4 linked regions of the Rhinolophus ferrumequinum genome follow. The protein of the gene in region 1 interacts with the protein of each later gene in a pairwise test. Links are inferred from orthologs where the notes say so. Each region holds a gene or a part of one and is shown in the gene's direction. Other genes may lie near its edges.

Region 1 (7,839 bases):
TCTGAGGGCAGTGACATCAAGGGCCAATTTATAGGCTGGAAAGCGAGTCCAGATTTCTAATTTCAAATAAGCTGAGTGTACATTTTAGGACCTTTCCCAATAAATAGCGTCCCAACTTAACTGTGTCCTTACACCTCAGTTAAACCTTCAGTAAAATGAGGTAATATTTACTCTTTATTTCCAGCGTTGTGGAAAGACAGTTTTGTTTTAAGCCTGGAAATTAGGAACTCAAGTGCCAATTCACATTTACCTCTCACTCCACCTACATTTAATCCCCACTTTCTTGGCTGCTATATGTCATTGCGTGGTCTTTTTGTTTTTGTATCATGACTTGTAGGCTTTAGAAAGAAAGTCTGTTTCATTTGGCTGCAGTGGATTAATAACTGAGTGGTACATGAGGTAGCGGTGTCTTTCATGTTGCTGCGATCAGCAGGCTCATCATAGAATTCAAGGAGGTGGGAAGACAAGGTTATTCTTTGTTCGGAGGCCAGAGCACGACCTCGCGGTGTCCACTGGCCCACGACTCCCCGCTCTCGTTGTCCTCGGCTCAGTTATCTGCACTAGGGAAGAAGGGTGATGCAGACCTAGTTTTCCAGCTCCTGGTCTGTGTGCCTTTCGTGGCTGAGTTAACTTGGCCGAGTTTTCCCTCTGAGGTCATCGCTTATTTATCCTTGCCTTATAAAAATCTGCTTTCTAAAGAGCTGACAAGCACTTGCTCTCTCTTTCTTTCCTGAGAACTAAAAGAGGTCCATCCAGCTCAGTTCTTCTCAAAGACACCCCAGCTGCGCCTTGTGCTAGTTTGCTCATCTCTACAGGGAGGGAGAGAGCCAGCGAAGAGTGGCTGTGACGTTAGTGAAAAGGCTTCCTTGAAGGTAGACTAGATACTTGGACAAAAGGCCACGTTCTCTCACACCTTTGGGATTTCCATGTGATTGACGCTGAGAGGCCCGACCCCATAGATCCTAGTTACGTCACGTGTATGTGTGGAAACGTTTGTGAGAGGCAGGCCCGCAAGCCGCATTCTCTCTTCCCACGGGGATCCGCTCCCTCAGCCTGGCTGCCCGGCCCCTACTCCACCTGGACTGGGTATTTTTTCATCACAGAGATCCCTTACTTTTACAGTGACTATACCGAAAATCTTGGTTTCCAGATGTCCCAGGTCATGCTGTTGTCAGCTTAGGAGGGTCTTCTAAGTCTCCTAGTGGATCTTTTGTGTTCCTCTTCTGTTGCTTCTGTCCCCATGAGGTTTTGGCATAGACGGCCATCAGAAGAATTTGGCATTAGCAGGAGCTCGAATCAAGAGAAAACCCCAGGAGGATGAAACCCAGGGGATGAAACATGGTCCAGATTTGTACTATTGTTTCACTTGCTCTCTGTCGGCTCACTGTGGTCTTTCTCTCTAGAGAAGTCTCAACTCCTCTAAAGGGACAGTGCTTTCTTTGCTAATCCATTCTGCTCCGCTCACTCAGTTCCCCTGGCAGGAAGAGAACAATCTCTGGGAGCACAAATAAAAACCTGCTCAAAGCCTACCTATAGCGTATACAGAGTCTATCCCTGTGCAGGAGGAGAGAAGGAATAGCATATGCCCCTCCTTTGTCTAGTGTGGGGGCGCTGAGGCACAGAGCCAGGGTACCCCTTGGCTGCTCAAGGTAGATCTGAGAGTGACATTGGAATGTGAGGCTCCCCACGACAGATAAAGACACTCCCCAAGACGGGAGAGTTCAGCTGTATGTCTTCTGGGATCCCTTGCTTCCTTTTTCCCACTTGAGAAATAAAACTGAATTCTCTGTTCACCCTGCTCACAATATAAAGCTACTTAAGTGCTATTTCCATTCACCATTCCTCTGGGGGACAGAGGTTGGTTTTCAGAGTGACCTGCATTCCTGTAGGAACAGCCACCCTCTCCTCCCCGTCCTGGGGAAGAGCCACATCTATTGGTAGTCTCTTGGCTAATCCCGCCTTAGGGTGGTGGTTGTGGACAGACCTCTCTGTTGACGTGGGTGCCTTGGGGTGTAGTCCTCACATCAAAAGGAGGTGGGGGTGGGGCGTACTGCCGACCAGGATCAGATAACCAGGAAAATAGAGCAGTTATGTAACTGTGTTTACTATGGCTCAGGTGGCTCTGAGAAGGCAGAGGTGGCCCCTGGCAAAAGGCAGTGCCAGAGATGGGGAAGTCACAGGGAGGGAGGGCCCTGTTAGAAGATAAGGGAGTCAGGAAGATAGGGCATCGGGATGAAAGGAGTCTGCTCTGTTGTTAACAACAACACTCACCTAGGACCTCCTTCCCTAGCCACAGGCTCTCCCTGACCACACCAGCCAGCGGTCTGGGCCAGCAGCAAGTAGAGCTGAGGCTGGAGGAAGGAGTTGAGAAATCAGACACCTGGTTCTTGGCTAAATCTCTGGATTTTGCTACGTTTCCCCTTTAATCTCCCACTTTTCAAAGAGGAGGGACTCTGCTCCCTAACTATGGGCAGAAAGGGAGATGTCCGTCAAGGGGCCTTATGCTCTCTGCTCCCACCTCTATACAATCTCTCATCCTCTATACTATCAGGCTGGGGGGACACCAAGGGAACATGGTGGAGGGACCCTGTTATAGCCTCTCCTCAGGCCAAGCCCATAGCCTAAGACTCTGGGAAGGAGAACGAGTCCCACCGGTGCCAGGGCAAAGCAGGCTCTGAGCTGAGAGGTGACGAGCCCAGCAGAGCTCAGACCTCAGTAGACAGGCAGAGGTTCAAAACAGCTCTGGAGAAAAGCTCAGGTCTCCAGTGGGGCCTACTGTGGCTCCTGCAAAGCTGTTTGCTGGATTCCCTATTCCCATAGAGATGACACTGGTAACCAGTCCCCCGCTCCTTGCCCATGGTTGCCACTTTCCTTTGAGAAACAGGAAGTAGGGACCTTGGTCAGCTCAGCTGCACCCTCTACATTAAATATTTATCTTGGAGTCCAGGTCAGAGCCCTAGAGAATAAGAGAAGCTTGCTGCTGGCGAGAGTGGGCATGACCAGAATTCCTGGAGTTGGAAGAACTTCAGCGTCACCATCTTTGGAGAACAAGGAAGAACACGAACGCGATGTGTCCCTTCTTAGTCGTGAGGACTGTGACAGGTGGGGAACAAAACTGGTGACAAGGGTAATGGGCACATCTTTTGTCTCTGTGGCAGGGAAGAGGATGGTGACAAGGGGTGGGGAAGTAAGTGCCCAAGCTTTGGAGGAAGGAAAATGCCCTGCCACCAGCCCTCCGTGCTGCAGCTACCGTCCCTTCCCCATCCCTACAGTGTTCTGGGAGAATCACAGATTCCTGGAAGGGGCCTTAGAGGGGATCTCATTGAGCTCCCTGCTCAGTACACTAAGTGCCTTTACAAAGATGCCCCACAACGGCCAGACTCAGAACCCCGTAATCATTTAAAAGCTCTTCCTTGGAAACCTCCCATCTGCTTCCACGTGTGCACCCAATGGTCCCACTTGTGGTAGCTCAGCCGGCCTGTTTCCACATGCAGCCCTGCAGACAGTGGAGGCCAGCCAGCATCCTCTCTCTCTCTCCAGCTTCTCTTCAGCCAAACGTCCGTCCCCTCTTTGTGCTGTTCACTGGTGATATTATTTCACGCTGGTTCACCACAACCCAGGTCGCCCTTTTCACTGAATTGAGAAAAGATAAAGCTAATAGCATCAGTGATGGTAGGGAGTTTTTTTCTCCATTCCCTTCCTTCTCAACTTTTCAGTTGAATAATGTACTTGGAAAACACTCTAAAGTGCATGGTGGCCTCAGGGCACCAATCTTACACCCAGTACCTATGCAATAAATGTTTTCAGATGTTCGTAATTTATAAGTGAACACTCCCAGAATAGATCTGGTATTGCCTAATACCTCTTTGCTATTGGTTTGTTTGGGGGCTTGGCGTTCCCCAACCGAGCCAGGGACTAAAAGTACTCCCCTCCCGAGTCTTTCCATCAGCAGGGAACATTCATTGAGCACCCTCACTTCCTATCACAGGCTCTGTGCGTACACAGAGGCCTGGGGGTGAGAGGGAAGGGATGGGTGGCCAGAGGGGTCGGTAGCCAATGGGCGCGGGCTCCTGGGACCGGTGTCAGAGCAGCGGGAACAGCGGAAAAGCAGCGAGATCAAAACAAATGCGGTGTGTGGGAACACCAAGACCCCGTCACCCCATCCCCGCCAAAGGGAGCCGCCCTCATCCTCTTCAGGGGCGCGCCACGCCCGGGGGACCGCTCCATTCGGCCGGTTTCCTCCCGGGGCTGTCCTCCGCGGGGCTTGCACGTGTGTGAGCATCGCCCGGTTTGGCAGCGCCCGCGCGCGCGTGTGTGTGTTTGCACACGCCCGGACGCGCGCTTACGCAGGCCCCAAATCTCTCTCCCAAGTGCGGGGGGAGGTGGCGGGCCCCTCCCTTGGTCCGCTAGGCCCCTCCGCTTTTGGGGCGCCCTATCTCGGCACCAGCCCGTCTGCAGAGCGGCCCGTCTCCGGGCTGCCGGCTCCGTATCAGTGGCTGGCTGGACCCGGCTCTTTAATCCTTCGTGCCCTCGGTCCTGGCTCCGCCGTGCAGCGGCTCCCTTCCCACCCGCTGGAAATGTCGCTGGAAACTCTGAGTGGCGTTCCCCGCCCCCCGCGCCCGCCCCGACGCCAGCCGGGCGGTGGGGGCCGGGGAGGCAGCTGGGAAACCAGAGCGTGCTCCCCAGGGACCTTGGCGGCCCCTCCCGGCGCCTCCGCGCGGCCGGCCCGGCCCCCTCGGCCGGGGCCACAGCGTCCTCGCGGCGCGCCCCGACGGAGGCCACTCGCTCGCTGGGGCTGCGGACCCGAGCCCCCGCCCCGCAGGCCCCTTCGCCCCCGCCCCCCCAGCCCCCGGCTCACAGTCCAGATTGGAGGCAGGCTGACCGCCGCCCGCCCGCCTCTCTAGTCCTTCCTCCCTGCGCGCGCTCGGCCCCGTCCATCCCTCTTCCTCCTCGGGCGCCCGGCCTCGCGGAGACCGTCCTGACCCGGTCACGAGGGTGGACGGCACAGCCCGGACCGCTCCCTGCCCTCCCTCCCCGAGGGCCCGCCGCGGCCTCACCAGGCAGGAGCCCGGCCGAGATGCTCCTGCCCTCCCGGGCGTCCTCAGTCCCCTCCACCTGCTTGCCGTGGAAGGTAGGTGTCTGGAGAAGAGGGGGCGGAGAGGAGGCGGGGGCGCAGTCAGGGAGGCACCTGCCTGAAGGGAAGGCACAGAGCCCGCCCCCTGGGGTCCTCGCCCCAAACTCGGGGGTGGAAAGAGGTGAGAAGTCTCCCTCAAAACAAAAAAGTGAAATTGGAGAAAACCTGTCCTGTCCACGTGGACTCATAGCTGGAAAATACCCGAGAAGACACCTAGGGCTGAGCCCCCAAAGCCAGGGCAGTACTTGCAGGTGGGAAGGAGTCCCTGACCACAGCAGAGCCACTTTACCTCTTCCAGCCTTTTAGAGTTGGCTGCTGGGGTGAAGGACAGCCAGAGTGAATTCTGGGAGGACCCCCGAGATTTCCTGGCACCCTCTGCCCTCTGCCAGGTGCAGGACCAATTTCCTCTGGCGGGGCTGCAGGGAGAAAAATGTAGCCCGCCCTTCCCCACCACCCTCTTGCATGTCTCTTGGGGGTGTGCCACAAGGAGCAGCTTGGGGAGGGCCAGACTGGGCCCCCAAGGATCAGCCACCCCCAAAACTCAAGTGGTGTAAGGGAACCTCCTGCCCTCTCCTTACTGCTAGTGGGCTGTTCTCACTGAGCACAGCAGGGTGGGACAGATAGAGGCAGGGAAGGAGTCTGGGTCAGCTGACGGGTAGAAAAGACTGGTGCTGACCTCGAAACTTGGCCTTAAGCAGTCAGCTGGGCAGGGAGGGGCGTGGTGCTAGGAACCAGCCTGCTCCCGGCCTAGACCCTCTGGCCTCCCACTCTCCTCTGCCTCGGTTTCCCCTGCAAGGGGAGAGAGAGCCTCAGGAACTGGGGTGTGTCTGCATGTTTTGCTTTTGGTAGGAGTCCTAATTCAATCCAGCTGGTGCACTGTCCCTCCTCTAGCCTCAGCCTTCTACTCCCCCCAGAGCCAGGGGTGGGCACAGGAAAGCTGTGTCCCCAATAGGCCTTTCAAGGGTCAGAAGGAATCCCCACTCAGACCAGAGACAGGGAATTGCCATGGCCTTGTCTATACCCTCCAGCGTGCTCAGGGGCTGGGTAACCACAGCCTCTATTGTACCTGCATCCCCTCTGGTCTCTATAACTCTTGTGCTGCTTGTATGATTGCACCCTCCCCACACTGATAGCTGACACTCCTCTGGACCCACAATCCCCTTGATATTCACATGCCCCCACACCGTGGTACCCCCTCAAGTCCCATTCACGGCACTGCCCTTACATTCCAACACACACACATGGCACTTCACAAGGCCCTTGCTGCATTCCCGTGAGCCCCCAGACCCCACAGGCACACACAAGCCTAAGGAAACAAAAATGCCAGAATTGGTAGAGCCCCAGAAGGCGGCGAAGGTTGACTCTGCTTCTGGCTCAGTGCAACGGCAGAGGAGAGGAGCAACCAGCTTCTTACCACCGCTCTCTGGGAGGCAAAGCCCTGGTTGGCAGCCCCACTGCCTCCATCTCCTGGCTGCCTGACTTGCATGGGGCAAAAGAACCCAGCTGATCAGTCAGATTTGCTGCTTTCAGGAAGACCCTCTGTTGAAAAAACAGCCTGGAGGTGTAGGAAAAAGTGGGGTGTGTGTGTGTGTCAGCACCACCCCTCCACACACGAATCCATTGCTCTTAACCACTGCTTCGCTCTCTGCCCCCACCCCTCACTGGCACCTTGAGCCCTCTGAGGCATCAGTTTGAGCCAAAGAGGCCCAAAAAGGGAGCTGATACTCCTCTGAGCTCAGAAGGAGTGGTTCCTGCTGCCTGGAAACGCCCCCACGCTCTCCCTCTCCCTGGATCCTTGGACCTTCTGGGCAGCGGGTGGGCAGCCGTGCTGTTGCCCAGGGCCTCTTGCTGGGCCTGAGGAACCCCTGTGCCTGCTGGTGACGGGATGTTCACACAGGGACGGGCAGGAGGCAGAGGGAAGTGAAACAAAGTCCCGAGTGCCCAGGCCTCCTCTGCCAGCTGCCCCAGTTCCCTCTGCCTTCCCTATGGGGGAGCGGGCTGACTGTGCAGTGAGAGCCCCAGAGGGGCTGGCCAGCAGGCCCGCCTGAGGCTTTGTCCAGCAGGTCTGCTCCTGGCCAGCCTCCCCTCCTCCTCGCCCGGTCTCCCCTCCCCCACTCCCACCCGGAGCTCCTGCCCAGGGCCTAACAAGCAGCCCATTGTACCTCTGGGAGCCGGCACTGGCAGCCTGCAGGCGGGTGCCCGCAGTGGCCTGTTTCCTGGGTCCTGGAGCTCCCACTCAGCTGGCCCTGACCCTCTCCCACAGTTGTCCCCTCCTCCACCACCCTGAGGGTACAGGCAACCCAGGCCCAGCCAGGCTTTCCCTTCCTCCCTGTTTCCCCACAGAGGACCTGCAGAGGAGCTGGCACACCCGGAGTCCTCCGACCTTGACCCAAGCATGCAGGCCCCACCCTGCAGCCTCCCAGCTGGGCTCAGCCTGGATGACTTCATCCCTGGCCACCTCCGAGCCCACGTAGGGTCATCCTCCCGGGGGACACGGGTGAGTGAACAAGAGAGAGGGTGACTGTGGGCCCCTAGTTGGTGGGGACCTTGCAGGACAGGTGTGGAGCACAAAGATGAAAGGACGGGAGGGCGGGAAGGGGTTGGAAGATAGCTCTCGCTGGCTTCCTGCAAAAGGGTCAAGCTGGCTCCAAAGCCCTCAGCATGGGGTATGACTGTGCCCTGGCAGCCATCCCTCCCTCCCTACT
Region 2 (7,459 bases), on another chromosome or scaffold:
ATAAAATAATTTGGATGAATCAGTATTTAAATGCTAATTTTATTAGAATATTGAAATTGTCCAGAGAATCAAAGAAAATCATTATGTAGAACAGCTAAGCAATTATTAATATCAAAATTGGTTATTCCTTAAAATACTTCCATTCTCCTATGTTTTATACTCTTTTGAATATATGAATTAACAAAGGGTTTGATGAAACTATGTACTAAGATTTCTCATTTAGTACTAAATTTGTCAGGAAGACAATTCAGATTGTCATTTTAAAGTATATTTTATTAAGTTGTACATTTACAAAAAGTCTTTTTTATATCTTCAGGTGATTCTTATTTTAAACAAAAGATCTTGATTCACTGGTTTTCTTTGGAAAAAATTAAAAAATAAAGTAAGTGATATAAGCTAATTAAAAAATAAAAGGGCAGGCATGCCCTTCTATTTATTTAGGGGCAACTTATTTAGGGTAGGTGTGCCCCAAAACAGAAGCCATTAAACCAGGATATGTTGGAATTGTTTGTTTTAAATGAGTAATGGGATGTGATACATGTTTACATATGTAATTACTGCTTAATTTCCTAAAACATTATGTTGTTTTTATGGGAATAAATCTTCCATAATTTGACATCTACAGCTTGACTAGTCATAACACTTATTTTTGAAGATGTGTTGGAGAACTTAAGTATTGAAAAAGGTAACCCAATGCCATAAAGCAGAAATATTCAACATCTTTAAAATGACTAAAATTTCAACCCAGTCTAGTTTCATATCTTTAGTGATTTCTTACAAGAAAGAATTCCATGTTTTACAAGCATTTCTTTCACAATGGAATAATATAATGGCATTGAAATAGAATTATGTGTCAGTTAAAATTCAGTAACATTGACAACATTTTAGAATATGGTTAGATCGGTGGGGTTAACATGGTACTGTATGAGCTCTTGAGAGAGACAGAGAGAGAGAGAGAATCTATATATTCTTTTGCACATCAGAACCAAATTTCATCAGTACTCCAACAAGTTTCCAAGTAACATTTGAAATGGTGACTTAGAATGTGATTCATTTATACCGATATTCAGAAGTGTAAAAAAATGGTTGCAGATAACATCACTTTTAACAGAACAGAACATTTCTGGTTTGGAACTATTTATATTAGCTTCTTTGGATACTTAAAAAATGAATAAGCACTTCATTTTTTAAAATCAGTTTTGTATTTATCTATATGGTCTTTTTGTTTTAAGGCTAAGAAAGTGGGTACTGTTCTCTTGGTATTAAGTTCCAGTATTACACTTTTATGATTTATTTTTCTTAAACTATTGTGTTACATACTTTTGGATGAAAATAATAGTGACACAGATTACCTCAACTAAGTGTGGGGGGCAGGTGTGTGTGTGTGTGTGCGCGCCACTCCACCAGGAACTTAGATATTGTAGGTAGATTTCATGGTTAATGGTACATATGTGGCTTGGGAACTAGATACATCTATTGAAGCTCTAATTATTTCTAAAAATAATGAGTTTAAGGATTATCCTAGTCAGATACTCACTTCATTTCAAACTACTCATCTATATTTTGATAAGTGATGCTGATTGACATGATATGGAGATAAAGAAATTAGAGTGAGGTGACCAACACCTGTCTGTATCATCCCCTAAACTTACAAATATGCTATTGGCCATTAGTTGGAATGAAATAATATGGACTAAGTATGCTCTTCAGGATTGTCCTAATCAGTGATAGGATGGTGGGTTTAGCTAGCTACTTGATTCCTTGCATCGTAGCCCTTACTTCTGGAATACTTTCCTCCTGAAGTATATCTTTTTAAATAATTCCTTTAGTAGATCTCTGTTGTTGGTAACATCTTTGTTTTTGATTGATGATACATTTATTTTACCCTCACTCATATGACTGATAATTTAGCTAGGTGTACACTTCTAAGTTTGGTTATTTTCTCTTGGTACTTTGAAAATATTTTTCCATTGTCAACTGGCACCTATTGTTGCAGTTGAGAAATCTGCAGTAGATTTAACAATTGTTTATTTATAGGGTACGTCTTTTCTTTCTGGTTGTTTTATCTTTGGTATTCTTCGGTTTCACTTTGTTTGAGAAGATTTCTTTTACTTATCGTGATTGGGATTCACTTTGCTTCCTGAATCTGAAGGTTCTTGTCTTTAATCAAGTCTGGAAAATTCTTAGCTATTAGCATATACTGCTCCTTTGTTTACTTTTCTCTCTCCTGGAGTTCTCATTAGGCTTCACAATCTATCCTTATGTCTCTTAATCTTTCATATTTCCTCTGTCTCTGGGCTGCTCTCAGTAATTTATTTAGTTCTGTCTTCCAGTTACTAATTTTCTCTTCATCTGTGTGTAATCTGCTATTTAATCCAGACATTGGCTTTGGTTTCAATTGTTATATTCTTTATTTCTTGAAGTTCTACTTGGTTCCTTTTCAAATCTGTTTGGTCATTTAAAAAAAAGTTTCTTGTTTTTTGCTCATGTCTTATTTTGTTTAATCATTTTAATAAACTTTTTATATTCTGTAACCAGTAATTCCAATATCCAAAGTTCATGTGCTTCATTATTCTGTGTGTGGTGTCTGTTAGCTTATTAACTCAGGTGTATTGTAATTATATTTTTGGTGCTCATGTTTAGCTTTTGATACCCTGTTTATCTGTGGAAATCCTTTCAGACCTGGATTGAGAGTGAACCTGTGCAGTGAGGATTTATATTTGTTTCGTCCAGGCCTCTAAGTACTACTAGCTTGGGACCGCTTTCTTGACTTGAGGTTTCCTGGGCAGTGTAGGAACTATAAATTTGAACTTTCAAACCCATGTGAGGGAAAGTTTGTGGTTATGAATTCTAAAGGGAAATTTTTTCCCCTCCATGCCAAGTCCAAGCTAAAACATAGAAATGTTTGCTTGTCTCCATGGGTTGGTAGGGAACTTTTTTCCCCCAAGTCTGTTCTTGGAGGATGTAGCGCTTTAAGTTTCCCAGCCTTTTGCAGGATCAGAGTCCTAACTCCATGTACAGGCCGGGGCCTTATCTTTGGTCTCCTGTCTCTTGAGCAGCCAGTAAAACCTTAGAGATTTCTGAGATTAAATAGATATCCTCAACACCACCATGGCTTCAGTGCCCTACTCATCACACTGGTTTCTTGCTTCCTCTTTGGGTTGAGTTGTGGAGTTTGAAAGACATCAGGGATATATTTTTCTTTCTTGGAAACTTAGTTATACCTTTGAAAGGATGTTCTATTTTATCCAGAATTTCTGTGTGTTTAATAAGGGACTGTTTTTCAGGTTATGTAATAGTGTGCCATATTTCTTCTTAATTCCTTTCTCTTGTATTCTCCATATAATTTAAGTTTTTTGCTCTACATCTTAGATAAGCACAATCTGGCTACTTTTATACATTTCCACTGGTATCTTCCTAGTATTAGTCATGATTACTGCCTCCCTAGTTCATTTCCCTTCTATTCTTGCATCTCTATATTCCATTCTCCACATAGCAATCTAGTGATCTTAAAGTGTAAACCAGATAACATTATTTCCCTGCTTAAAACTCCTTACCATGGCCTTCAAGATCCTTCCTGACCTGAGTCTTGTTTGCTCTAATGTTTTCATTCTACACTGTCCTCCTTGCCCTAAGCTCCAGCTACAAGGCCTTCTTAACTGACCTTAGCAAGCCCTTTTCTTCCTCCTTCTGGTTGTAATCTTTTTCCGGGTGCTTCTCTTAGTTCGCTCTGTTCTTGGCTTAAATGTCACCTCCTTGGCTTCTGTGGTCACCCCATCCAAAGAAACCTCCCCAGTTTTTTCCTTATACCAGACATCATTATTTTAATTATTGTGTTTTCATATTTGTAAGCTCCACAAAGGCAAAGTGAGTCATGTTCACCCTTGTATCCCTGATGCCTTAACAGTATTTGGTACATAGTAGACACTCAAATATTCATAGAATTAGTGAATACATTGATAACGCCTCCAAGGATAAAACATGGACACTTCAATTTGTAAGGAGGTGGAGCTCAATTTAGCAGCAAAATAATAGTAAGTCTGTAGGTAAAAAGCAAAATGGATAATGGATGAGTTCCCAGAAACAAATGTCCTGGAGCAGATTCATGTAACAGTAATATCTGTCAGCATCTTTGGTTAGCACAGACCTGGAGACAATGCTGAATTAAGTGAAGGACTGGCGTGCTCTTAATGTAAAGACCAAAAGAGGAGGGGGAGGCTAGAAGACGAGGGAGAGGGAGAGGGAGGCAGTACACATCTCCAAACTACAACTCCCAGCAGGCCCCACGCGAGTCCCGCCCATTGGAGAGCGGTGCCCGTCTCCGCCCCGTGGAGCTCCAGGCTTCGGGTGGGGAGGGGTGGTACCGTGGCCTCGCTCCTCCTTGCTCCCCGCCGTCGCCCTCCCCCAGGGTTGTGGCCACGCGCAGCGGCGGCGGTTGTTCCGCTTCCCCTCCGGCCGGGGCCGTCGCCATTGCCGAAGGCTCCTTGCCCTCCCCTCCCGGCGCCTGCGGGGCTCGGCTGCCGCTCGGCCTAGCGGTAGCAGCGGCTGCGCTACAGCGCGGCTCCTCTTCTCGTCCCCCTTCCCCTTCCGTCTCCTTCCCGCCGCGAGCCGCGCGCTTGCCCAGGGCGGCTCCGGACCCCGCCGGGAGCTCGGACGGAGGCGCCTCGCTGGGGCGGGGACCTTTCCTCGCCTGGGGTAAGTGTGCAGACAGGCCGGGACGCGGGCCATCTCTCTCCTTCCTTCTTCCTTCTCCGCGGCCTGGCAGGCTCGAGCGGCCCGGAGCAGCCGACCTGCCCCGCGCAGGGCCGGGGCAGCCGCCACCTGCGTGCCTGCAGCCGCGACTTCTGGGGCGGTGGCTCATTGTCTGCTCCCTAGGGCTGTTTTCTCCGTTTTAAGCCCGAAATGGGAAGCTGGCTGGGCAGGTGAGGTCTCACTCTTCCTGAACCCAGCCCTGCCCTAAACCGTGTCGCCACGGATTCTGCCCTGTCTCTGTCTGCCTTCCGTTGCGTTTCAACCTCCTCCTTTTTCTCCGTTTACTTTAATTTTCAACCAGACGTCTTGAGTTTTATTTCCCGATTTTTTCCTCTCTCACTGAGTCCCAGCTCCTCCTTTCTACCCCTCTGTTCATCCCGTTTCACTGCTCAAGCATATTGTCTAAGGCTCTTTACTCTTTCTAAAGTATAATCTGTAATTTCCATATTTCACATTAGTAAAAACGTACAGTTTTCCTGGGGTTTGAGGGCCTCCACTTCAGAACTTTCGGATCTTCTCGTGATTCTTATTTGATCTTCAGCCAGGAGGTGAATATTTGCTTCTTTAGGTAATTTAGGTGAAAATTGACTTTTAACCATGTTTGGCTTTCTTTAAAACTGCACACACATACAAAACGCTCCCACAAATTCCTCCGTGGGCTCAACTTTTGGCCAATTCTTTAAAGATAAAGTCATTCAGTAACTGAAGTGTGAAAAGTAATTGCCATTGTCAGTTGGTGTGGGGTTGTGCCCATTCTTGTATCTTAATTTTAATGGGGTTACTCTGGGCAGTGTGAGCGTGATTTGTTTCCTCCTTGATAAATATTGTCAACTCCCATTGACACAATTATCACAGTTCCACTTCACAAGTGATCTATAGTTTTCTTTTTTAACCTGTGTAAAAAGACAATTAAAATGCTTAGGCCTAAAATTAGACTCCGAGAAGCTGTGTTTTGGATCAAGGTTGTGCACGTCACGTTTTTCCCCCTGCTCTGTTTGACTCTTCCGCTCTTATAAGTAGGCAGGATATTGAAATATACAAGAATTTGCTCTGGGGGTTTTGTTTTTGTAGGGTTATCCAAAAGAATAACATTAAATGAAGTAAGATTGAGATGAAGGCAGTGAATAGTAATTTTTAAAGCAGGTTAGAACTTGTCAGCTTTGCCAGAAGTTCTGTGGCATTCGTAAAACACACTCGTAGTCACTTCTATATATTTTATATATATGAAAAAATACATATAAATGAAAAGCTTTGTGTATATTCTGTTAAGGGTATTGATTTAAGGCAGTTCTTTCATCATCGGCTTTTAAACCTTTCTACCTATTAATTAGCCAAGAACACTGATTTACGGTGTGAAAAGTGAACCTCAAAATGTTTTTGACCTGTAATATATGGAGGTCTTAAACCCACTTTCAGGTTTTGGTGAAAGAGGTTAACCTAAATTCAGTGAATTTTTTGTTTCCACTAAATAGTACATTGTTACCAAAATTGCTTAGTACTGAGCTTCAATACTGTCAACATTTGGTAGTGTCAGTTGTCCTTAACTTCATGGGAGGTCTGCTTAGCCTAAGGTGTTAAGATATAGTAATGTTAGAGTGAAACTTGGTCTGTGATGAGAGCTTCTCTGCCAGTTCTTTCCATAAGCCGATACTTTTACTAAGGAAGAGCTCCTGGGTATTGTGCTTCACTTAGGGCCTTGATTCCTGCTTACCAGTTATTCAAAGAAAGAGTTGTTCTGGACTTTGTGACATTGAATACTAACCTTGTGAATTCAAATTCATAAAGCGACAGTAAGTTTGTAGTTGGAGTATATCTACTAAACAAATGAATAGGGGTTCCTATGTTTCTCTGATGCTTACGATAGGCCCGTTTCCAAGATGTGGTTAACAGTGGTGTATATTTCTTTTCAATTATACTTTTTAAAAGAGAAAACTTAGAACTTGTTCAGGTAGCCAAGGATAAACTTGCAATTATACTTTTTTTAAAAGAGATCTTGTTCAAATAGCTAAGGATAAAATAAGTAGGTACTGTTAAATCCTTCCTATGCTTAATCTGTCAATATTGATTATTCTAATATTAAAATACAATGTTCCTTTTGGAATTCTATATTTTGTACTTTTGATGAAAACTTGAAAGTGGGCCTTATTTAAGGCTTTAAGTCTTCAAGTTTCTGATCAATTTATTTTCCAAAGCCCTTTCAGTTAGTTGGAGGGCTAATTGATTTCAGATTAATCAGAGGGAAGGTGTTACGTTACTCACAGATCTCAGTTGTCTCTCCTATCCTTCTTGTACCTTGGCAGAAGCAGAAAGAGAAGGAAAAAATAGCTCCTATTGCCATGAAGAAATACTGATTGTTTTCTTCTGTGATCAGAATTGAGTGACACTGCATCTTCATTTTAGGATCACTAACCTGATTAAGAGTAGTCAATCTGAACACTCACACGGGATTTGCATTCTAGCTTACTAGTATCTCCGAGGTAAGTTAATGCTTGTCCCACGTACCCCAGGTGGTTAAGGCGGTTAGGAGCCGGAGACCTGGGTTGGAATCCTGGCTCTTCTGCTTGATCCTGGGCAAGATACACATTCTTTTTCAAGACTTGATTTTTTTCATCTGTAAAATGGGAATAATAATAATAATATAATAACAAATTTCATAGGGTTATGTAGGGCAAATGAGATAATGCAGGTAAAGTACTCAGCAAATATA
Region 3 (7,746 bases), on another chromosome or scaffold:
TTAGGGCAGGTCTGCTAGTGCAAATTCTCTTAGTTTTTCTTCATCCAAAAATGTTTTCATTTCCTTTTTATTCTTTAACAATATTTTCGTTGAATACAGGTTTCTGGGTTGAGAGTTCTTTTTATTTTAGCAGTTTAAAAATATTATGCAACTTCCTTCTGGTCTCGTGGTTTCTGATGAGAAATCCACTTTCATTCTAGTTGATTTTCTCCCATAAGTAAGGTGTTGTTTCTTTCTGGTTGCTTTCAAAAGTTTTTCTTTGGTTTTCAGAAGCCTGACTCTGATATGTCTTGGTGTGATGTATCCTGCTTGGAGTTCACTCAAGCTTCTTCAATCTGTAGGTTATGACTTTCTCCCTAGTATTTGAGAAATTTGCAGTTATCATTTCTTCAAATACCTTTAACCCATGCTCTCTTTCTTTTCTCTTCGTGAGACTTCCATGCCAGGACAGCTACAGTTTTTTCTTATAGTTCCACAGTTCCCTAAGACTCTGTGGATTTTTTTTTCAATCCTCCCCTTTTTTTTTATTGTGGTAAAGTAACATAAATTTTAACATTTAAAACCTTTTTAAGTGCACAATTCAGTACCATTACATGCATTCACATTATTGTGCAACAATTCCCACTTTCCCATCATCCGAAATTGAAACTCTACACCCATTAAACAATAACTCCTTATTTCTCCCTCTTCCCAGGTCCTAGTAACCATTATTCTACTTTCTTTCTCTACCAATTTGACTATTGTAGATACCTCATATAAATTGAATCACACAATATTTGTTGTTTAGTGTTTGGCTTATTTCATTTAGCAAAATGTTTTCAAGTTTCATCCATGTTGTAGCATGTATCAGACTCTTGTTTCTTTTTAAGGCTGAATAATAGTCCATTGTATGTATACATTGTATTTGGTTTATTCATTCATCTGTTAAAGGACATTGAGTTGTTTCCTCCTTTTGGCTATTATATGCAATGCTGCTATGAACATTGGTATACAAATACCTGTTTGAGTCCTTGCTTTCAATGCTTTTGGGTACATACCTAGACATGAGTTGCTGGATCATTTGGTAATTCTAAGTTTAATATTTCGAGGAACTGCCATACTCTTTCCCACAGTGGCTATATCATTTTCTATTCTATTACTCTTTGTACAGGCTGGGTAATTTTTATGTTCCATCTCCAATCCACTGATTTTTTTACTCTGTCCTTTCCATTTTGCTGTTAAGCCCATCCACTGAGTTAAAAAAATAAAATAAATATAAAATAAAAATAAAACATTTTAGTTACTGTATTTTTTTAAGTTCTAAATTTCCATTTGGTTCCTGTTTATATTTCCTATATCTTGGCTGAGACTTTCAATTTCCTTGCTGAAATTTCATTTCAAGTATGTTTGTAATTGTATGGTGGCTGCTTTAAAATATTTTCAGACAATTCTAACATCTCTATCATTTCAGTGTTGGCATCTATTGATTGTTTTTTTTCATTCAGTTTGAAATCTTCCTGATAGACTTTTGTGTATTCTGTTCAGGAACTTTGGATTTTGAGCCCTTCTATTTTAGCTGGCTTCCTCTGACACAGCTCTGGCAATGGAAGGAGGGAGTTCTTCCTGTTACTGCCCTATGAGGGAGCAAATAGAAGTTCCTTGTTCAGCCTCCATTGACTCCCTCAGGTGCAAGAATAGTTTCCCGTTACTGGTGGGAGATAGGAGTTCCAGCTCGCAGTAGGCCTCCACCAATACCTTCTGGATGGAAGGGGTAGGAGTGCCTTCTTACTGCTCTCCACGCTTCCTTCATGGGGTGGGTGGCCTCCTTACTGCTGTGGTAAAATCCTGACTCTCCACTAGGCCTTCTCTGACATCATTCCATTGGGGGGATGAAGTTGCTGTTTCATTGCTGTCTGGTGAGGGTGAACGTTCAAACTCCTTACGTGGTCTCCACTGACAGTGCACACAGCGAACAGACTTTGGCTGGGGGTTTTGTTTTTGTTTGTGCCTCTTGATGTTTCCATGTTGCTGGACTTCAGCTCCAAGTATGGGATGTATGTGGCAAATAGGAACCCTGGGAAATCACCACTGTGTTGTTCTTTGGGTCCCAACATCCCCAGCCAGTCTTCCTTCGTCCCTCCACCTTGCAGAGTCTTCTTATTTTTCTTTTATATGCAATGTCCAGGGATGTAGACGTATCTACTTACTGGGAGGAGTAGGAAAAAATAGCTTTTCTTCTTCCCACAGAAAAAGTCTAGATTTTGCATACATTTTAAGATTGAGCCTACTGGAGTTTCTGATGGATGGGGTGAGGTGGGTAGGTGGGTGGGTGGTTGAGAGAAACAGAGGAGTGAAAGATGACCCCAAGAGTCCTGGTCTTATCAACTAGAAGAATAAAGCTGTCATTAAAAGAGAGGGGAGAAGACTGGGTGAAGAACATTTCTTTTTGTCGGCAGTATTTGGAGCTCAATTTTGGAAAGGTTAAGTCGGAAGTGCCTATTAGACATTTAACTGGGAATGTTGAATAAGCAGATGGAGATGCTGGTGCGGAGTTCAGTGGAGAGGTCTGAGGAAATATAAATTTGGGAATCATCAGCATATGCATGAAGTTTAGAGCCTTGAGAGTGGATGAGATCACCATGATGGGGAATAAAGATAAGGGAACAAAGATGTATAAGGACTGAAATCTGGTGCTGTTCAATATTTAAAGGCTGGGAAAGAGTAGAGAAATCAGCAGTTGGTGATTGAGAAAGGAACAGCCAGTGAGATAGGAAGGAAACCAGGAAACCAAGTGAAGGAAGTGACATTGCTTCTAGCCCTTTCCAGTTAGGGTGATCATATTGATTTTCTATTTCAAATTCTACTTCATGGGTCTTCTTCTCTCTTCCTTCCTCTGTCCCTCCCTCTCTCTGTTCAGATGTTCCTGGACTGACTTGTGATGGGGTTACTTCCGAATAAACCCATTGTAAGTTGAAAATATCTTAAACCGAACATGCATTTAATACACGTCACCTACCTAACATAGCTTAGTCTAGCCTATCTTAAGTGTGCTCAATAGCCAAATATCCAAAAGATGTTGGCAACACCGTACATCGTAGAGTATTGGTTGTTTACCATCGTGATCATAAACTTGACTGGGAGGTGCATCTTGCCACACTGCACAGCTTCATAAGAAAGCATCATACTGCATATCATTAGCCCAGGAAAAGGTCAAAATTCAAAATTTGAAGTATGCTTTCTACTGAATGTGTATCACATTTGCACTATTATAAAGTCAAAAAACATAAGTCAAACCATTGTGAGGTGGGGACCATCTGTATTTGTACCTCTTGGCTCTGGACTATTTCAAGCAGAAGGCCCACATGCACTTTTTTGGGTCAGGTTAAAAGAACCTATAGTGTGATTAGCACACATGACTGGAAAATCTTAGTGGGATATTTCCAAGGACAAAAATATTGCAAAGAAACTTTAAACTTTACTTACCAGTTTTATTGTTAGTGGTAATATTGGCGTTCTAATTTTGAAACAAAACTGTTATATACGCTGTAGGATAAAACAATAATTATTGTTTGTAAATAACCTGCTTTTTTGGTGCTCATCACTCCGGCTGCCAAATGATAGGCACTAATTTCCAGTTCTGGTTCTTCCATGATGGATTTTCTTCGTTTTTCTTCTTTTTGACTATCTTTCTTTTACTGATTCTAGTGTGATTCTACTATAATCAACCTTCAACACTTCAAAATTTGTTGAGATGGTCCCTGTGACCCAGGTTGTGGTCTGTTTTGATAAAAATTTCATGAGCACTTGAAAAGAATGGATATTAACTTTTTGCTTTGTAGCATTAGGAATTTTTGTCAGGTGTAACTGTTCCTGTTTTCAGATTGTAATATAACACCAGACCCTCACAATAAAAAATCTTCAGGGCAAGAAATAGCCTTCATTGGTATAACCACTTCATCGGTTCTGCCTAGGTATTTATTGAATGAGTAAACATTTCAAAAATAAGGACTAGGCACTGTATTTGGAAGTGGAGAATGTTTTAAATTCATCTAAGATGGTTTTCTAAAACTGTCAAATTACTCTCTTAAAGACTTGAGATGTGTATTTCAAACTGTGTTAGATAAGTCAGCATGATTTTTAGAAAATATGTTCCACATCACCACTTCACATAAAACAACTTCTTGGTACTTATGTACATCCTACATGAAACTAATAGCAGCAAAGGGCTATTAGTTCTGGTAATTGTGATCAAAGTTTCTGTTTTAATTAATTTTTATATAATCTACGTAGAGACCGCTATCTAAAATTACATAAGACAAACTGCAATACCGCTTAGGGCTAATTAACAGAATGATGTTGGATAAATCGAGTCTCACTTTCCTAATAAGTGTAATGGGAGTTAATACAGTTCATGGTTTATAAGATTGGGAATGGGGATTAATCAAAAAATTAGAAGTGAAAGCATTTTTACGCATGAGACCTTATATAAATGTGATCTATAATGCTATTATGATCAGTTGCCAACATGAAGTGGAAAACATTTTTAAAAGTCTACTTTCTTCTTACAGGACTCTAAGGGGAAGCCGCAAGCGCACAATGCGCGTGTGCAAAGGACTCTGTTGTGGGGAAAGAGGTGAGGCTGGCAAAGATGGGAGGCGGGGCCCTACGCCAGCTCTTTCTCCCAGCTCCGCCCCTCGAACGCCAGACTGCGCACGACGTCACGAATCGCTTGTACTTCCGCTTCCGATTACTCACGTTTCTCTCTCTTCCTGTCCGGCTGGAAAGATGGCGTCCCGCAAGGAAGGCACCGGCTCTGCTACCACCTCTTCCAGCTCCACTGCCGGCGCGGCAGGGAAGGGCAAAAGCAAAGGCGGGTCCGGAGATTCGGCCGTGAAGCAAGTGCAGATAGATGGCTTGGTGAGTGGGGTTCCGTCTCCTCCGGCCCACGTGGGAGCATAGTTCCCACGCCAGTCCCGCCTGAAGCGCTCCCCGGCAGCTTCTCCTCTAGGCTCGGTGAGGCTGGGCCAAAGTTGTCCGCTGAAACCCTCGTTTTTCATCTTCACTTTTGATCGGGAGACGCCACAGCCTTCTGTGCCATCTGACGGGGAAATAGAGGGAACAAGGCGAAGGGGGTGTGTGTGTGACAGATTCTTGGGGTCTTCTTTTGTGATGCTTGGCAGAGGGGATTTGGAGAAAGACGTCTCTGGAAGACGAGTAGGTGACGGAACTGTCGAGAAGGAACTAGGACTCTAGGGCTTTGGGGAGGGCAGAGGAAGGTAAACGAATGCTTCCCTGCTGGAGTATGACATCTGTAACTTCCCAAGGGGAGATTGACTTTGTAGTCACGTTTGAGCCTATCGTTCAGAGCTTTACCTGAAACAGCATAATTGGAGTAAACATCTGTTATGTTGGTTTCTTCTTTCCCCATCTGTGAATGTTGGAGTGCCTCAGGATTTGGGTTTAAGCCTCCTTCTATCTGGTCTCTGCTGGACATACCGTAACCAAGGACTGTAGTTAAAAGCACACCTCTGGAGCCACACTGCTTGGGTTTGAATCCCACCTCTAATTAGCTGAGTGACATTGGGCAAGTTAATGTCTTTATGCCTCATTTTCCTCATCCGAGTTGTTTTGAGGATTAAAATTGGCTGAACGTGTCAATAACTAGCACGATGTCTGGGACATAGTAGGTTTCCACTTCCGCTTAGCTGCTGCTGGTTTTTGTCGTAGTTATAGTAGTAGACTCTCTTTAAGGACCCTCCTGGTGGCTTTCCGTATTTATATTCTGAATTTATATTTCTTACCAGATTTGGTTGTTGAATGCCACTCTTGAATACCCAACTGCCTGCTTGACATCACTATTTGGATATCTTATAGGCTCCTCAAATTTAACGTGTCCGAAATAGAATTATTGACTTCTTCCCCTCACTCGTCTCTCCCGTTCATTGGTCCTACCTCAGTCTCTCCCACCTTAATAAATAGAACTACCATCTACCCATTTGAATAAGTCAGAAAACCTAGGCATTCACCTGCATTTATTCTTTTTTTTTACCCTCAACATCCAGTCTCAGCAAATCCTTGGGGTTTCACCTTCAAAATACATCAGAGTCGTCTGCTTCTCATCTGTGTGCCACCAACCATATCCACTTAAAAAATAAAATACAGACTTCTTGCCACAGTCTTCAAGGTCCTGCTACTCCTGTCTCTTTCTCCACACTCACCTCATACTTTCTAGGCTCCAGTCACAATGACCTTTCAGTTCTTTGTTTTCTCTGTCTGAAATAGTCTCTCAAATATTCCTTCCCTCTTGGTGGCTTCCTTTGATGCTGTAGGTCTCAGCTCAAATAACACCATCTCAAGAAAGGCTTTGCCTGACAACCTTGTTAGAAGTAGCCTCCCCCCGTCACTCTCCATCACACCGCCCTGTATTTCTTTCATTGCATTGTCCACTGTCTGTAATTGTCCTGTGTGTCTCCCCCACCAGAATGAGAGCTACTGAGGGCAGGCAGAGACTATGCTTTTGTTACCTGTAATTCCCAATACTGAGCCTGTTCACTGACATAGATAGGATAAATGAATGAATAAAAGATTACATTTTATTTTTGTACTGCTATTAGTTTATGTCCTGATGCTTTTCTTTGATCAATTATTTTAATGGTACCTTGGATTGTTGTCTTAGCCCTCTTCAGTCCATCCTTCATACTTTTATTAAAACATTGACTTAATGTGAAAGTTCACATCTTACTAACTTCCTTCCTGAAATGTTTTCAGTGATTTTGCATTGAGTTCAAGGCCCACCAAGATGTTGTCCTCCTTTTTGTGTTTAGGTTTATTTCCTAGTTTTTCCAGGCTTCCTAGGAACTGTGCATTCTAGCCACACACAACTATTTGGTAGACCTAATGTTTAACCTCATTTGTTCCTGGCACCTTGATAGTGGCCAAGACCAATTTTTCTTGTATTCTTGAACCTTTCCTACCTTTGGTCTTGTGTCATCATTTCCTCTATCTTTAGTATTACCTTTGTCAGGACTTTCCTATATTAAAATGTTCAACTCTGTCTCTTTTCTTGGCACTCTCTGTTCCATTCTTAATCCCCACTTTTTTTCCTCTTGAAGTCAGTGGTTACAAATCGTCTATATTGGTCGTCTTCCATTGTTTCTTTAATTCACTGCTATTAGAATCTGCCACCACCTATTTCCTAACTTAGTTTTTGAAAAGATCATTCATAACATTAGCAAAGTGTAAAAAAAAAAAGTCAAAAATATATCATTCATGCAAAGTAGTGTCTATAATACATAACTTCAATAATCACAATATAGCCAGTCACCTGCCATTTAGTTTGAGAAATAGAACATTACAAATATCTTTGAAGCCCCTTTCCCTGTTTCATCCTTTCCTCCCATCCCTTCTCCCCACCCTATTACTCTTCTGAGCTTTGTTTCAGTGGTTTCTTGGTTTTCTTTATAGCTTTACCAGTGTATTCCTAAACAACTTGTCTAGGTTTGCCTATTTATATTAATAAATATGAATTAAATCATAGTATGTTCTCCTGTGTCTTGAGTAATATGTATACATATACAGTAGTACTTCGGTTTTCGAACGTCTCCGTTGATGAACCTTTCGGTTTACGAACGCTGTAAATCTGGAAGTAAATGCTTCGGTTTTCTTGGAAGTCGAACATGTTACACAGCTTCCGCTGAGTGCAAGATCCCAAGGCCTAGCTGTCGGCTGTTTTCAAACATTTCTGAACTTGAACGGTCTTCCAGAATG
Region 4 (7,484 bases), on another chromosome or scaffold:
CAAATCCAGGATGGGGCGCCATAGCAACCGCAGATGAGCCCATGCCCCTCTCTCCACCCTCTGCTCCACTTAGCCTCCTGGCAGCAATTGCGAGGGGCATGATAAAGGACAAAGCTGCATCTCCTGGCAGTCTTCTCTGGCTGCCTGCACCCCTCTGACACCAGGCTGCCAAACTGGAATTTGAGATTGGGGATGGCGAGGGTGGGAAAGAGCCTAATGTAACCATAATCAATCTTTGTACAGACTGTGGCAGTTCATAAAGTGTTTTTCATGTGCATTATCTCAATGAATCTTCCCCACAACTACATATGATGAATGTTCCTATCCCCATTTCACAGATGCAGGCACTGAGGCTCAGACTCTCCCAAGATCGCCTAGCTGCTCACTTTGAGTTGAGACTCAAACCCTGAGCTCTGACTCCCCACCACCACCACCACTGTGTTATTCAACCTCAGAGACCTTAAGGATTAAGGAGGAGTAGATCAAGCCCAGAGAGGCGAGGGGACTTCCCTGGGACCACACTGCTTTTTGTGACAGAAAGGGAGTCTCCACCAGGGGACCCCTCCTTCTGCACCACAGAGCAGCAACCACAGCCAAAGGGGTAGGGGGAGGATGGGGAAGGAGAAGAGAATGAACAAAGTTTTGCCTCTGCTTCCACCTTCATTTTGTCATCCTAAGCCCTGTCTTCTTTCTTTGTGAAACCTGTGCCTAAGCCCTCTGGCTCTTCCCGGTTTTCTTATGGCTCTGCCCTTCCCTCTGTTGGACAAGATAACTGGAGCCCCAGAGTTAGCATCATCTCAGGCAGCCTCCCTGGATCAGAAGGGTGTGGATTCTTGCAGGCAGCCACAGAACAAAGCCCCTGCCTTCTTCCCCTTCCCTCGTCCATCACCTTTCCATAGCAGATGCACTCCCCACTCACCCCGCAATCTGGCCCCATATATACATGCTGTCTTTTGGCTCCTTCTATTCTCCTCCCCCATAACCTTTGATGTCCCAGGTCACTGAGTGTGAGTAGCAAGGGACGGGTGGTGGTTGCTAAAAACTTCCCTTGCTTTACAGGTGGCCTCTGCAAACAATCCTGCTTTGGAACCCTAAGTGGGACTGTAAGGGGTGGGAGGACGAGAAGAGGGCTAGAGGACAAACCTCCAGCAGAATTCCTAGGGTGTCAGAACTAGAAATGCCTACAGCCCAGACAGTTCTCTAATGGAGAAGGAAACTAAAACTGAAACTGAATGTCAGCAAAGTGACCTTCTCAAAGCCACAAAGCCAGTGAGTGGTCATAAGGTCAGACCTGTGTCACACATCCACAGCTCTCTCCTTGGCCTGTCTCATTCTGTGTGCTAACAGAGAGGGACAGAGGGGGCAAGTGACCCATTCCACTTTCTTCGTATTATCAGCTATGGTGGGTTAGATGAAGGCCAACAAAACACACTGGGTGAATACATAATAGTAAGTTGTCTTTTTCCCCCCAAGAAGCTTTTCATAATAATAACAACTAACATTTGTATAGTGTTTAAGCATTCACATGTAAATTTCCATTTAATCCTCGCTACAGCCCTGCATGAGGGGCGAATTATGATTGACCTAATTTTACAAATGAAACACACGTTCAAAGATGTTTAGTTATTTGCTCTTGGTCATTCATCCAGGAAATGGCATGATTAGGACTCAAACTAGATGGCAAGCTCCAGAGGGACAGAAACGAGGCCTAACTCACTCATCACTGCACCCCCAAAGCCTGGTTCACTGCTGAATGACTAAGTGAACCTCAGGACTGGTTTAGACTCTCTGAATTGCTCTTCACAAACCTTTTAAACTAGGATCCTCCCACTGCAGGGACTACTTATATAGCCCTCAGTGAAAAAGGTTTGTGTGGACACACAACCTGCTCAACAAACACACACCCATCCAACTCATACAAAGATATACTTCCTTTGCTTGGAGCTTACTTTTCGATGGTTTTTCTAGGATCTGGGCTACAGATCTGGACATTTAAGGGCATGGAGAAAGGCAGCATTCCTTAACCTGCCTTAGAAAGAGCATGTGTGCATTCTCCTGTGCCTCTGTGTGCTCTGGGCAGGTGGAGATACATCCCAGGTGGTGGACATAGTCTCCCTCTGGGGCCAAAAAAGTAGCTGGACAGCAGAGGGCGCTGCAGAGCTACAGACCTTGCATTCACCGGCCAGTTTTACAGACACAGCCAGGGATCTTGGGTGGTCTTCTTAGGACTCAGGTGTTTTGTGATCCTATAGCAGTTTCTCATTTGTCCAGAAACCTGAGTGACTTCTGAGAGGTAACTGAGGGAGAGAGGGTAGAGAATAAAATCTTTGGAGTCAGAGCTGGTTTTGAATACCACTGTACCTTTCTGAACTATGTGATCTTAGGTGAATAACTGAGCTTCAGTTTCTCCATGGGCAAGGAAGCATATTAATGCTGTTGTGCTGAATTAGAGATGAATTTGTTTCAGGAGCCTCTAACACGGTGTGAGGTTGAATAAGCATTCCATGCTTATTATCAAGGGTCGACTCTGTGCTGGGCACAGTCCTTGGCACTGGAGAGTCCCTGATGGGCAAACGTGGCCCCTGCCCTCAGGGAGCTTACAGCTTAGTAAGGAAGACAGACTTTAATCAAATAACCCCACAGATCAATGATAAATTACATCTATGCAATTAAGTGAAACAAAGGAGTGTGGTCCTGGGGCTTGGTGAGAAGGAAGTGCCCAGGCAGGGAGATTTCCTTGAGGTAGAGAGCAGTGAGTTCAACCTAAAGAATGCATAGGAGTTTATTGAGCAAAAAGAGAGGGAAACAGCCTTTTAAGAAAAGGGAATAGCTTGTGCAATGGCCACATGTGGCAAGCTTGACACAGGGCTAGTGGAAATGCAGAGGAGAGGAAAATGGGGATGTCAGAGGGCTCTTTAAAGAGTTTTGTCTTTAACCTAAGAAAAACGGGAAACCATTATAATCACGGACTGTGGACAAATGTCCATTTTAAAAAGGTGTCTCTGGCTGCAGGACTCATAGTAGACGCTCCACCCTCTTCCCTTCGATGCACCCTCAGGTACCAAAGTTGCTAAGTTCTGCTGGCTGCTCCTTCCTTTTTGTCCCTTGCAGCCCTAAATATTTTTCATGGGATGATTGCAATGGTTTCCTAACTGGTCTCCCTGCCTCCAGTCCAACCTCCTCTACACAACAAACTTGATCTTATTTGATCTTCACAACATGTCTGCAAATAAACAAAGGAGCAATCCTTATCCCTATTTTGCAGATGAGAAAACTACAGTACTACGGAGCTGGTTCAGACAGGCTTTTGAAAGCCAATTATTAAAATTTCAGGAATTTTGCAAGCCAGTTGTTAAACACAGCCACTGTTAAAAATTAAGTTATACAAATTTATAATTAAATAAGTGATATTAAAGACAAAGGTAATAAATTCTCAAAACTCATCACTTAATAATTTCACTATTTACCTATGCTCTTGGGGTTGTTATTCTATATGATGAAACTACTACATTACAGTTTGCTATTGCTCACCTCTAACTTCGTGTTCAGTAGAGTCAGATTGGTAGATTGAAATTACCATGGAGGCAGTGTTTACACCATGGAAATTGGCAAACCCTACAAATCAGGACCTTGATTTGTTTTGTTGATTATCTAGATTTAAGAATGTGATGGAGAAAATGTTCATTATTCAGATTTAAATTTAATGTTTGACCTCTGCAGCTATTACACTGTGGATTGCACAAAAATTGAGAACATATTCTTTCAGTATTTGAAAACTGTTTTCTGATTCAGCAAAGAAGTCACTCCCAAAATTGAACTTTCCTCTTACATTGACATAGAAGAAAATAGTAACCAACATTCTTGTCATAATTATACTCCTTGGTCAACTGAAACCCATTCAAGAGGCAAACATCAAGGAAAGTATTCTGTGAGAATCTCTTGGTTACGTGGAATTTTCAATTGTATATTATTTTTTGTAAATCATCAGTTAAATTTGATAAACGTATGTACCAGTATATATGCATACGCCCCTTTCCTTTTTCCCCAGAGCTGTCCAATATTTATCAGCACACCACTGGGTCTAGAATACATTATTCATATGTCATTACCTAAATATTCACTAGATGCCAGGGGGATAGTCTGTCAATGAAGAAATGACACGGCCACGGTCACACATCACAAGCGGCACAGGCGGGACCAGAACCAGAGTAACTCCCAAAGCCAGCAGCTCTCCCAGGACCAGTTCGCGCTTCCCAGGGCCGCTCCATCTTACCCGGAGGGCTGGCTCTTGCCTGAGCGCCCGGGAAGTGAAAAGCAAGGGTCGGGGCAGGAGACCAACAACCAGGCGAAAAGCAGCTCGCGGCCAATAGCTGCCCAGGCCGCGCGTAACGTCACGCTCCGTGAAGGCCCGCGCCAGCACACCCGGAGGAAAGGGGCGTGATCATCGCCTCCCGGAAGTGACGCCATCCGTGGGCGGTCCTCCGCGGCGGCGGCGGCGGCGGCGCGCGGCCTGGGCTCGCGCTGGGCTCCGCGCGCCCCCCGCCCCCTCTATGAGGCAGAGGCCGCGGCGGCCGTTAACGCTGTCGCTCCGGGGCCCGTGGCGGGCGGGGCTCCGGCGGGGCTCGGCCTAGTCCCCACCCCAGCCCGGCTCCCAGCCGCCCGCCCTCCCTCCCTCTCTCCGATGCAGGGGCCCGAGCTCCGGGATGGCGAGGCGGCGGCGGCGGCGGCCGCTTCGTACCGTGTCCTGAGCCGCCTGCTCGGCTATGGAGAGGCGGCCCCCGAGCCAGGCCCACCGCCGCCGCCCCCGGGCCATGGCCCCCCGCCGCCACCCTTCCTCGCGCGGCCGGGTCCGCGGGGCTCCCGGCCGCCGCAGCTGATGGTGTTCCGCAACGTGGGTCGGCCGCCGGAGGAGGAGGACGCCGAGGCGGCCCCGGAGCCGGGACCCTCGGAACTGCTGTGTCCCCGGCACCGCTGTGCCCTGGACCCCAAGGCCCTGCCCCCGGGGTTGGCGCTCGAGCGGACCTGGGGCCCGGCTGCTGGACTAGAGGCGCAGTTGGCGGCTCTGGGGCTCGGGCAGCCGGCGGGGCCGGCGGTCAAGACGGTCGGTGGGGGTTGCTGCCCGTGCCCGTGCCCCCCGCAGCCGTCCCCTCCGCAGCCCCAACCGCCTGCTGCCGCCCCGCAGGCCGGGGAGGATCCCACGGAAACGAGCGACGCGCTGCTAGTCCTGGAGGGCTTGGAATCGGAGGCCGAGAGCCTGGAGACTAACAGCTGCTCGGAAGAGGAGCTCAGCAGCCCGGGCCGCGGAGGAGGAGGGGGCGGCCGGCTTCTGCTGCAGCCCCCAGGCCCCGAATTACCCCTGGTTCCCTTACCGCTGCAGGACTTGGTGCCACCAGGGCGCCTGAGTAGAGGGGAGCAGCAGCAGCCGCCTCCCCCGCCCCCGCCCCCGCCCGGACCCCTCCGGCCACTCGCAGGCCCTTCGCGGAAGGGCTCCCTCAAAATCCGCCTCAGTCGCCTCTTTCGCACGAAGAGCTGCAACGGTGGCACTGGTGGTGGGGATGGAGCCAGCAAGAGGCCTTCTGGAGAGCTGGCTGCTTCAGCTGCGAGCCTGACAGACGTGGGAGGCTCCGCCGGCCGGGAGCTGGACGCGGGGAGGTGAGACTGGCTGGGGGGTGAGTGGGGGTGGGGCTGGCTGACAAACTTCCTTTTCTTGTTTCATTTCCCTTTTATTCTGCTAACAAGATCCTGACAGTTCTTATGATATGGCCTTCATAAGGAGGCAGAGACTTGGGGCTAAAGGTGGTGACATAGCTCATTAGGTCAGAGCTAATTAATTATGGGAGACAGCTTTCACTCTAAGAGTCCACTCCCTGGGACACTTGTCAGCTGGTTATTAGCATCTCTCTAGTTCAGAGATGATTTGAAACCGTTCCCCTTCCCCTCCCCTGGCCCAGCTTTTAAAGTTTTTGCAAGATGTCTCTCTACCATTACCCCTGGCAGGGAGGTTGCTGGAAATGTTTGGTCTTTGGGACAAAAAATTGGTGTTGCATTTTGGCCACCTTGCTTATTACTCTTTCTGTTACCAGCATCCCACCTCTTTCACACTGATGCATACAAATGATGTGAGGAACTCGTGCAGTTGCAGGCCCACAATCAATTGGGCCTCTCTATTGAGTTTTGATGTTTTCTTGATTGGTCTCTTAGAGGTACTTGGCATCTCAATCCTGTGTGCTGACCGCTGTCAGTGAGCATGGAAAATAGCTTTGCTCTCAAGCCCATGTGAGAGTGTGAGGCATAGATAGGCACTGGTGCATGAGTTCTGGCCAATTGATGAAACTTCCAAACTTAGACGTCGAGTTTTCCTGCGTTGCTGAAGGGTACACTGCTCTCTGACCCTCCAGTGTTAGATCTGTTTATTGATTTAGAAAGCTGTCAACTTCTGTGTCCATAAATGGAGACTTCCCTTGTGGTAACTGCCATTGTAGTTGGTGCTGCTGAATGGATTCTTAGAAAGATTGGAAGTGGTTTTGGTGCAGCTCATGTGATAGATTCTTGAGACACAGCCCAAGGCTGAAGAACAGGTAGATGAATAAATTGAGAACTTTGTGCACCAGGATCACGTGGGGAGCTTTGGGGAAAAGATCAGTATGTCTGATGGCCCAACAATTTGAATTTTTAAAAAGCTCCCCCATTGATCCTGAAGTGTGACCTGGACTGGGAACCATTCACCCATGGCCTTCTCTTTTCACGGGAGTTTGGATGCTCCAAAAGGAAAGTGTGAGGGCAGGTTGGCTTTGCTACCCTTTCTGAACATCTGTGCCAGGGACTCATCTTGAATCGGATCAAACCCAAACTCCCTAAACAAACCAGTCCTTTGATGCGTGGTGCCCTTTCTGGTAGAACTGTGTTTCTGCATTTGCCTCCCAGTGAATTCATGCTCAGATCTTGAAAAGTGTGTGGCTGCTAAAACAGCTTTTTTTGTTGTTGTAGGCTCTGCATTCGATGCTCCGCTTAACCAATACATAGATGAAATTTTCATCCGATGGGGGAGGGCAGGGTTGAAGCTGTGGGTAATGACATAGGATAGATTACTAATTTTCTTGTGGTCTGTCTTGCCTTTGTTCCATATTGACCAGGACTTGGTCTAAGATTCTAGAACCGCCAAATATGAGGTGTGGCGTGAAATTAGCTGCTCCATCTAATAGATTAGGAAGAGGAAAAGTCATATAACATTATACGGGTTTTTGCCTTTGGAAGCAGAATTTAATGGTCATTGGCTGCTCTGTCACCAACCCTCCCACTAAGCACAATACAGATTGCTGCTGCTGAGCAAATTGGGCTCTTGCTCTGCAAAGCTTAGTTCAGGGCACTGGAGAATTACATTTTTTGGTCCAGGGGCTTTTCTGATGAATTGGAGAAGAGCTAGATATTTGTGTACGAACGTTTGGTTGACTGCTGTTAGGAGGCAGCATGTTGGTTGGACAGAG

The links.
Region 2: the proteins of SORBS3 (region 1) and PAK2 interact in binary tests that used the Homo sapiens proteins (3 or more experiments, as listed by UniProt). The two-hybrid records come from large-scale screens. The link is inferred for Rhinolophus ferrumequinum from reciprocal best matches to the Homo sapiens genes SORBS3 and PAK2.
Region 3: the proteins of SORBS3 (region 1) and EIF3H interact in binary tests that used the Homo sapiens proteins (3 or more experiments, as listed by UniProt). The two-hybrid records come from large-scale screens. The link is inferred for Rhinolophus ferrumequinum from reciprocal best matches to the Homo sapiens genes SORBS3 and EIF3H.
Region 4: the proteins of SORBS3 (region 1) and SOCS7 interact in binary tests that used the Homo sapiens proteins (3 or more experiments, as listed by UniProt). The link is inferred for Rhinolophus ferrumequinum from reciprocal best matches to the Homo sapiens genes SORBS3 and SOCS7.

The regions. Positions count from the first base shown.
Region 1 is NC_046301.1:43,963,365-43,971,203, reverse strand, and holds the start of SORBS3 (vinexin), read left to right. Parts: upstream 1-4,837; 5' UTR 4,838-5,131; intron 5,132-7,477; 5' UTR 7,478-7,529; coding exon 7,530-7,631; intron 7,632-7,839. UniProt on the Homo sapiens protein: Vinexin alpha isoform promotes up-regulation of actin stress fiber formation. Vinexin beta isoform plays a role in cell spreading and enhances the activation of JNK/SAPK in response to EGF stimulation by using its third SH3 domain.
Region 2 is NC_046285.1:50,985,075-50,992,533, forward strand, and holds the start of PAK2 (serine/threonine-protein kinase PAK 2), read left to right. Parts: upstream 1-4,443; 5' UTR 4,444-4,695; intron 4,696-7,052; 5' UTR 7,053-7,229; intron 7,230-7,459. UniProt on the Homo sapiens protein: Serine/threonine protein kinase that plays a role in a variety of different signaling pathways including cytoskeleton regulation, cell motility, cell cycle progression, apoptosis or proliferation.
Region 3 is NC_046297.1:55,676,789-55,684,534, reverse strand, and holds the start of EIF3H (eukaryotic translation initiation factor 3 subunit H), read left to right. Parts: upstream 1-4,729; 5' UTR 4,730-4,764; coding exon 4,765-4,896; intron 4,897-7,746.
Region 4 is NC_046304.1:35,402,349-35,409,832, forward strand, and holds the start of SOCS7 (suppressor of cytokine signaling 7), read left to right. Parts: upstream 1-4,481; 5' UTR 4,482-4,681; coding exon 4,682-5,652; intron 5,653-7,484. UniProt on the Homo sapiens protein: Substrate-recognition component of a cullin-5-RING E3 ubiquitin-protein ligase complex (ECS complex, also named CRL5 complex), which mediates the ubiquitination and subsequent proteasomal degradation of target proteins, such as DAB1 and IRS1.